Regions from separate parts of the Mus musculus genome. Here region 2 is reported to be linked to region 1. Evidence: microRNA targets listed by miRTarBase, many of them from high-throughput screens and not tested one by one. Region 1 holds a microRNA gene; the other region holds the end of a gene's coding sequence.

Evidence for each region. The annotated mature microRNA mmu-miR-3967 reads AGCUUGUCUGACUGAUGUUG and lies in region 1 at 3,219-3,238, opposite strand. An mRNA with a match to its seed (bases 2 to 7 or 8) in the 3' UTR can be bound and repressed. Matches are read on the target gene's strand: a 7mer-m8 pairs with bases 2 to 8, a 7mer-A1 pairs with bases 2 to 7 and ends in A, and an 8mer does both.
Region 2: the mRNA of Cdc42ep3 is a reported target of mmu-miR-3967. Seed matches in the 3' UTR shown: 7mer-A1 at 3,024-3,030.

The regions. Positions count from the first base shown.
Region 1 is chr2:22,652,876-22,657,558 of GRCm38, reverse strand. Mir3967 (microRNA 3967) reads right to left here and starts at 3,276; the gene lies at 3,209-3,276. All of the region lies in intron 8 of Gad2 (glutamic acid decarboxylase 2), which reads right to left.
Region 2 is chr17:79,331,041-79,335,040 of GRCm38, forward strand. It overlaps Cdc42ep3 (CDC42 effector protein (Rho GTPase binding) 3), which reads right to left. Exons shown (of 2, transcript NM_026514.3): 2 at 2,683-4,000. The coding sequence ends at 3,685. Among named protein-coding and RNA genes, the nearest start is that of Gm17315, 22 kb to the right of the region's middle.

The sequences.
Region 1 (4,683 bases):
TTTTTTAAAACTTGCTGGTTCTGTTAAATATGGAAACATTCCATAAATAATATTACAAAGTCTCCAAGAAATCAGGACATCTTTGAAAACAAACAAGGACACTAGAGATCTACCAGAACCAGGTAGGGTTTGTTACAGGTGTGTGGAGATAGGAACTGTTAGCATTTCGGTGTATGTCATCTCTGCAATAGTTTAAAGTGAAGAAACCACAGTGGTGTCCTAACTGATGCATGAAAGGCATTTTTTTTCCTCTTGAGAGAGGGACTCATTATGTTGGCCTACACCTGCCTCAGTTTCCCAAGTTTTGGTATTCCAGGCATGTGCCAGTGCACCTAGCTATGAAAAACATTCTGACAGTCAACAACATCTATTCTAGAGAAGGAAGAAAGGGAGGAAGAGGGAAGAGGTAGAGAAGATGAGAAGAGAAAACGAAGAATTTTCTGGTGATTTAAGAAAACTAGGGCATTTCTGTGACACAATTAAAATCATCTACCTCAAAGTAAGTGTCAATATTATACCCAAAATATAATGCCCTATATGCTTGTCCATTAAATTTAAGAACAAGACAATAACACTCTTTAAAAAATTGTTTTTGTGAACATTCTTCTTTACGTAACGAGAGTCCAAGAATTTACAAGAGATTGAATCAACAATAAAGAATTTACCATCACCTTCCTACCCCCCTAGTGGCTTCATTAGTGAATTTCATCAAACATTTAAATAATGATGACTAACAATGTCTACAATCTTCTGCATAAAGGAGGGATTATTATTCCAAATTCTTTCTGCAAGGTCAGAATTACCTCGATGTGAAAATAAGGGAAAGGCATTACAAGTGAAGAAACTTGCAGGACAGTAACAGATGAAAGAATCTTGAAGGGAACACCAGCAAGCTCAACACAGTAATATTTCAAAAGGATCTGATAACACAGCGAAATGTGATATATCCTTGTGACACTGGGTGTGTCAACATATGCAAATCAAAAAGCACAATACACCATATCTGAACAGAATGAAACACAAAAATATGACTGTAGGTATGTTATTGTGCACTGTGTAAAAATTATCTTTGTATTATTTGAGTGCTGATTTCTGTGCCCCCATTTATGGATACAGTTCTTATTCTTCAAATCTCCTGTCTCAATGTTGTGTAAATATTGCTACCTATTATTCCCTGATAAGGAGGGAGAGGGAGAGGGAGAGGGAGAGGGAGAGGGAGAGGGAGAGGGAGAGGGAGAGGGAGAGGGAGAGGGAGAGGGAGAGGGAGAGGGAGAGGGAGAGGGAGAGGGAGAGGGAGAGGGAGAGGGAGAGGGAGAGGGAGAGGATCCATGGGGAAAGAGTTCAGAAGACCATGGAAAAATACCTAGACTTGAGAAAGCCACAAAATCCAAGTATCTCTGGGATTTTGGCTGAGAGGTAGCCAGATTATTTTAGAAGTTTAAAATAGATTAATACTGCTCAGTTGTTATGCCTTAAAGATGTAAATAAAAATAATAGTCCAGTTTCCATTATTTGGGAGCTAGCTTGGTTAAGACAAAAACTGGAACATTTTAAAAAAATGTCACTAACACATGAGCATCTCCTTAGTTGAGGAACAGCTTTTGACAAGAGTCAATCAATATCCCTTTGTGGTAAGATCTCCCAATGAATTAGGTATAGAAAAAAGTGTAGGTAAATGCAGTTGAAGCCGTATATGAAAAGCCCACAGTTAGCACATTGCACTCAGTGCTGAAAATTGGAAGCTTAGGATCAGCAAAAAGGCAAGGATGACAAGTCTTGTCTGTCACCCCTAGCAAACGAAGCACTGCATGTCCCAGCCAGAGACAAGGCAAGGAAAGGAACCCAGCCAAGTCCAACAGAAATCGAAGGTTTCTGCTTCCAGATGACATGACTGTATGTAGAGAAAACTCTAAAGATTCCACCAAAAAGTTGTTTAAAAGTAATTATTGAATTCAGTGAGGTTTCTGGACACCAAGATCCACAAGGGGAAAAAAAAAATCACTGGAATCCTCTATGCCAACAATGATTTATCTAAATAAGAAAGTAAAAAACCAATTCATTTCAGTTGAAAATAATAAAAATACTTAGAGATACATTTATCAAAGGAGCTAATGGCTTATATACCCCAAAGTGAAAAAGGAATCAACAAATGTGGTATACATGTATACAATGGAATATTATTTACTCCTGAAAAGGAAGAGATTCCAAGATATAAACATGGACAAACTTTGAGGATATTATGCTAAGACTTCTCATAAAAAGTCACTGGGTGATCATACTTTAACCAGTAGGGAGCAAGAGTAATACAATTTTCTGCCAAATCCACATATAGAGAATATACAATAAAAGTAAATGGTGGTTGGCAGGCATGGGGAAGAGGGTGATGGGTGGTTGTTGTCTCATGGGCACATTTCCAGTTTATGGTTGTTTTACAATGTGAGAGTTGGATGCCACTAAAATGTACACTCAACGCAGTTGAGACAGCACTGTGCTTTTGACTATAATAATGACAGGAGAGAAGAAGCAGTTTTCTTAACTGGTGAAAGTTAGTAGGTCTCTTCTGAGTCCTGATTCTCACTTACCAGCCATGTGCCCTTGGACATAGCATCTGTGGCTTTGATATAAGCTAAATGAGAAAGGGCAGCTCACCATAATGTTTTACATGATTGCCTGTGTGGCCACATACCATAATAATACTGTGACAGTAAGGGTACACGTGAGGCATACACTATTTTGTGTTCTAATTAGACGAATTAATTAGATCAGTTGCTTACAGCAGGTGGACTGTGACCACTTGTAACAAGCAATGAGTCTTGGCTGTTGCTATTTTGTAACTTCCTCATGTAGGACATCACAAGTGCCTCTGAATTCTCTGTGTAGAAATCTGGAGGGAATTGGATGCTTGGGCTTCCTGGCTCTACTCTGTCCTAACTGGTTCAGTGTCTCTTGCTGGTCTGTCCTATTCCTGTGCCTGTGGGCGCTCCGCAGGGTTCTGACGTAGCCCCACAAGGCTCTCAGTTGAAGCCTTGGCTACAGTCCAGTTAATTTAACAAAAGAGTTTAATGACCCCAGGTTATTTAAACTTTCAGTTGTTTTGGTAAATTGTATGACAAAGTGTGGTACTTTAACAAGCGCAGGGAGCCATGGTCTCAAAGGCTGGAGGAGTGTTTTTAAAACAGCAAAATTGTTTACAAAGCACTAGTACTTAATTTGTGCTCCAACATCAGTCAGACAAGCTCAATAGAATTCTTGCTGCCTGAGTCAGGTGCAGCCAGTGACCCTTTCTACTATGGTGTCAACCAGGTATCACTGTCATTGTCAGACTTATCTCCTGCACAGGCACAGCAAATTACTAGCAATTGAGATAATGGAAAAGAAAGTCTGAAGGGAAAAGAGATGGAGAAATGGAAAAGAAAGAGTGGGAGGCGGTAAGGAGAGAATTCGTTTCTGAAAGTTGCCATGAGTCCATCCGGGTGATAGAGCAAAAGAGAAAAAGAGAAGACAGAAAAAACACGAGTATGAATCTCCCTCCCATCGAACGCAGGAATTGACAAATAAACAAGAAGGATGGAGGTAGAAAAATGAACATTTCAAAACCCTCAAAACAATTCAGATAAGAATTAGAAATGGATGCTCAGCTAAGTAGTGGCTGAATGCAACAGGACACACAGCTACCTCTTCAAATCATGTACTCAGAGTAAAGAGAGTACCCTTATTTTAGAATAGTTATGGTTGACATTGTTAATAGTGAGCCCAGTCTCCTGACAAGCTGCCAAGGAGAAAGTCCTGCTTTGCTGGAAGCCCTGCTCCAGACACCTCACTTGAATTGAATCATGAGAAAAAAAATCAGACAACCCAAATAAATTATCTAGTCCTTCAGGAATAGAATCAGAAAATTCTCAAGCACACCTGTGATCCCAGTGCTTGGGAGCCAGAGACAGGGAGGCCAGCCTGGGCATCAGAGTTAGATAGAAATAAAAGAAATTAAAACAGGAAAGAAAAAAAAGCATCCCAAGAAAGACAGACAAGAGTGGAGGAAAGGCTCCAGACTGAAGTAGAGTGAAGAACTACTTAACCACAGGCTGGGCAGTGGTCACCATGCTGGTGGAGGGGTGGAGGAAGTGGCTGTGAGGGAGGGGCTCCTCAGCCGGCCTCCACTAACCAGTGAGTTCCTGGCCAATGAGAGATCTGCCTCAAAAGCAGGCAAACAGTACCTAAGGAAAACAATAAATACATGAGGTGGTCCTCTGGCTTCAACATGCCTGTGACCCTGCACACACACACACACACACACACACACACACACACACACACACACACATGCATACACACTTTAAAGGTCATTTTAAAATAAAAAAATTATTTTTGGTACGGTGGTACTCCTATTTGATCCTATGGTACCCTATTTCTGAGCTCTTCTATTTAGTACTTCATTTTAATCATTTATATTGTTTTCAAATCAGATTATAGCAAGTTTGAGAAAAAAAGATAGTCGTTAACCGTTATAGCTTCTATAGTGCCTATTACTTTGCATTAAAAATGTTCAAAAATTTAACATAGTAGCTAAAAATAAGAAATCATGCTCAAATCATCTTGGGTTCAACACTGCATTCCAGTTTTCGACCTAGCAGCATTAACAGGCACACACAACCAAAGGCGGCTGTGGAATCAACACTCCTCCTG
Region 2 (4,000 bases), not on the chromosome of region 1:
TGTTACAGATCACTCCATAAGAGTTTTCATTCCTTCACGTGATGTTCCTTGCAGTAATTCACTAGAGAAGGATGACCCAATGAGTCAAGCTAGGAGCATTTGGACTTCCTCGCTTGAAGCATAACATGGCAACCATTCTCAGGTGAAAAGTTCCTTGGATAAAACAGTGTGCTTTCAGAATAAAATGAGTGACCCTTTGGGCAGCGTTGGATCCATCAACTGTGTTAGTATGTTGAGCAGTGACCATTTACTCGCTTACAAAGCAAGCATCTTGTTTATTCAGCACCACGAATTAATATGTATGGCTACTTTTCAGCAACACAGCTTTCTTGAGTCTCATACAGCTTAAAGAGGTCTTCGGGTGGCTCACCATGTGGTGTGACATTGAGAATGTTCTCTTGTTGTGCTGGATCTAGTCTGAGAGTACGGGTGGGGACACAGGACAGTTGTATTATATTTACACCAAGGGCATGGGACACAGTGGTCTATTTATATACCTTAGTTGCTTACCATTCATAGTCTAGGAGGCCAATCCTAAACCGGAGGGTTTTGTCTGGGGCTAGGTTGCCAGTATAAATTCCCAAAGTGAGACTCACTGCAAAGAGGGCAGCATCCTGAGCTGCTTTATTGTTGCTGAAGCTCAAAGCAAAATGGCTCAGTCATCCCAGCTTGGCATTAATGGGAAGACTAGAAATATAACATATGCTCTTTTTTTTTGGTTTTTTTATTTTCTAAAATAGTTATCAAGTTAATTCACAGACTCCCAGGTCAGCACCATTCCATGATGTACAGTATTTGCAGTGGCCTTCAGTGAAAAGACCTAGCTTGAGGCTGTATCCTGGGTTTCTGGTTCTCCTTCCTGCTCAACCAATTGTCCTCTATGTGCTTGTTGACAGTGATGCTGGCCCACTGAGATTAATGACTGTATATTATGAGGAGCAAAGGACTCTGATATTATTTTTAGCATGTAATTTTTGGATGGAAAATATAGTTTGTTAGGTCTTACTGTCCATGAAAACAGACATCTACCTACACACAAAACAAAAAACAAAACTTTGCCTACTTTAAAAGGGTCACTACTTATGCAAATGATGACATATTTTTGGTATGTGGGTCACACACAGGTGGCTTGTCACTCATTTTTAGTTTACAAATGAAGTCCATTTGGGTTTCCTTAAATTCCTTAAATTAAGTGAAGATAAATTAGGATGTAAGTAGGATGGAGACACAGCTTGAGAACATCAAATCAGCTCTCAGCAGGTAAGAGTCTAAAGTGCCTCTTTGTAGGACAGAAAGTTAACTGCCACTTGGGCACCTGTTCAAGAGACTGGACCAGGCCATTTTCTTATAATAGGAGCGAATTTTTTGCTATGTCAAGTATACCTACAAGTGTACTTGAAGGTGTCTGTGTTTTAGTTGTTTGGTCCGGACAGAGTATGGATTTTGGAGAATATGGAGTTTAGTTTGGAAAAGTCAAGTGGGTAGACATGTGAGGGATGCAGAAGATGAGACTTTACCAGAGCCGTTCTCCACCATGGCTGGAAAGGCAGCAAAAAAGATGGAGACAAATCCCTCCCTCTTTCCCGGAAGTCATACAGCAGACAAAGGGTACAGTGAGACTGAATATGATCAGTAATTAAGATGGGAAAGTGTTAAGAGAGTTTGGCTGACACCAGCTACAAAAAAATGAGCTCGTGCAACTTGGCCTTAGAAAGTCTAAGAAGTTTCTGACCCATGACTGAGTGTGATCCCACAGAAAGGAACACTGGGAAGAAGCAGAGTGGAGATGCAGGACTTGGGGTTGCTTAATAGACTCAACGCTCTAGGGGAAACGATTTACTCTGTTTGGTTAGCCACCCAAAGTGGATCTCACTTCCTACGTTCAAAGGTTATCCCATGCATTATATGATTGAAGTCCAAGAACTCTAAACCCCAGGCCAGAGTCCCTGCTGCTGCCTTGGTGAAGGTGCCCTAGGGATACATCAAGCTGAGGGAGCTGGCACTCCCTGTTGGCAACAAAGCTCAGAGTCAGGAGGGGCGCCTAAAGATAGACAGGAATCTGTGTGCAATTTCCTGTTCTGGGTTCCTTAACCAATCTCCTCAGGGCATCTTGCAAAGGGGAAGGGCCCTTGAGTGGTCCTCTGAAGCTTCTGTGTCTGTAGGACCTACACAGCAAGGGAGCCTTTGTCTTACAGGATAAAATGCTGTAGCCAACCTTGAAGACAGGCATGCACAGGGCTTTGGTGGCCCTGTGGCAAAGGCTTATAGTCTTAGCTCCCCTCCCCCATCTCTGTCTTCTCTTCTCTCTTTTCTTTCTCTTTCTTCTCTCTCCTCTCGCTCCTCTTTCTATCCTCTCACCTCTCTTTCTATCCTCTCACCTCAATCTCAATCTCTCCCCCCCTTTCCACTTCTCCCCTCCCTCTCTATCTCCTCCCCTCACTCTCTTCCTCTCTTCTCTCTCTCAGCATGCAGGTTTGTATAAGCCAACAACAACAATAACACAATGATTGCCCATGTTCATTTCTCTTAAGTGTTCCTATTTCTAGAACCAAACTTGTAAAAAAGTCAAGACTGCAGTCATCTCTTGGCTTATGTTAAAGGTGTGGGTACATTTTAGGACTTTTACTAGATGGTCTTAAAATCTTTTCGGTTCTTGTTTATGACTATAAATGAACACGTTCATTTTAGCATTTACTCTTTATTGCGTGGTATGATGTACCCAAGTAATGTGAACATGAGCTGTCCTTAAATACCTACCTCACCTCCAGTCTCCACAGAAGCATCACCCTGTGCCTCCTACTGGGAGGAGGTAACACCCGAGCAACAGGGTCAGGCTGATAACGCATAGGGTTGGGCTGGTTTTGTTTTCAAATACACACGCGTAGCTTGCAAGGAAGCCCGAATGGAAACACGACAAATAACACTTGATGTATTATGTATAAAATGTAGACTTTGCAATAAAAAGCCAAAGGCACATAAAAATATATTTCAACTTTAAAAATAACTTAGTTACAGTAATACCTTGCTTGTTTTTAACCAACATGTAGCTGACAGTCAAACTTTTGCAACATGGAAATAATATACAGGGATATATAAAAACCACAAGGAAAAAAAATCCCAAATCCTGTAAGGTTGCTCGAATATGCAAAGAGTAAAATCATAACGCTGGAGACTTCGCTGTGGTGAACCCAAAAGATACAATATACAAAAAAGGCTAGGAAAAAAAGGCGTAGGTGCCAAATAAGTAAGTTTCCTTCTCATAACATGCAATGAATTGCCTTGGAGAGACCCATGGACCCAGCCCTCTTAGACAGCCTGGATTTCTGCATGTCTACAAACAAAACTGAGCATGTATGAGCATCAGCAATGCCTGTTGAAAATGAGCTCTGACTCACTTCCTCCTTTTTCTTTTCTTTTTTTTTCTTTTTTGCCAGAACAGGTTTTTTTGTTTTGTTTTGTTTTTTTTAATTTTTAAAAATTATTGTTTTCAAAATTTTTGCAAACAGGGCATGATGGTTAAAAAAATATTTTGTAGGAACAGGAGCGTTATTTTAGAAAATGCATCACATGGCTGCAAATAAAAACAGTCAGAGCAGCTCTTTCCATCAGCTGTGGTTAGTTGATTTTTTTGTTTTCTGCTTATTTTGGTACCTCTTACTCCCAAGAAAAAGAGCTGACTCCTGGCTACTTATTTTTATCCATGACATTCAGGACTTCATCCAAAAGTGAAGGCCCAAGATCCAACTGCAGGGAGAGCAGGGAGCCGGTCAGGTCAGAGAAGGACTCTTCTGATTTAGTCTTTGACTTCACAAGCTCACAGGAGGCAGGATGCTCAAACATGTCGTCCGCGGGCCAGTCGGAGGACTGTTCCGACAGGCTGGAGGAGTGGCTGTCGCGGCCCTGGCTGGACTGAGACCCGGAACCACTGGAGCCCCACGAGGTGTCTCCCTGGTGGACTGCCCCATTCTCTAACAGACTACTTTGCTCCTGAACTTTCTCT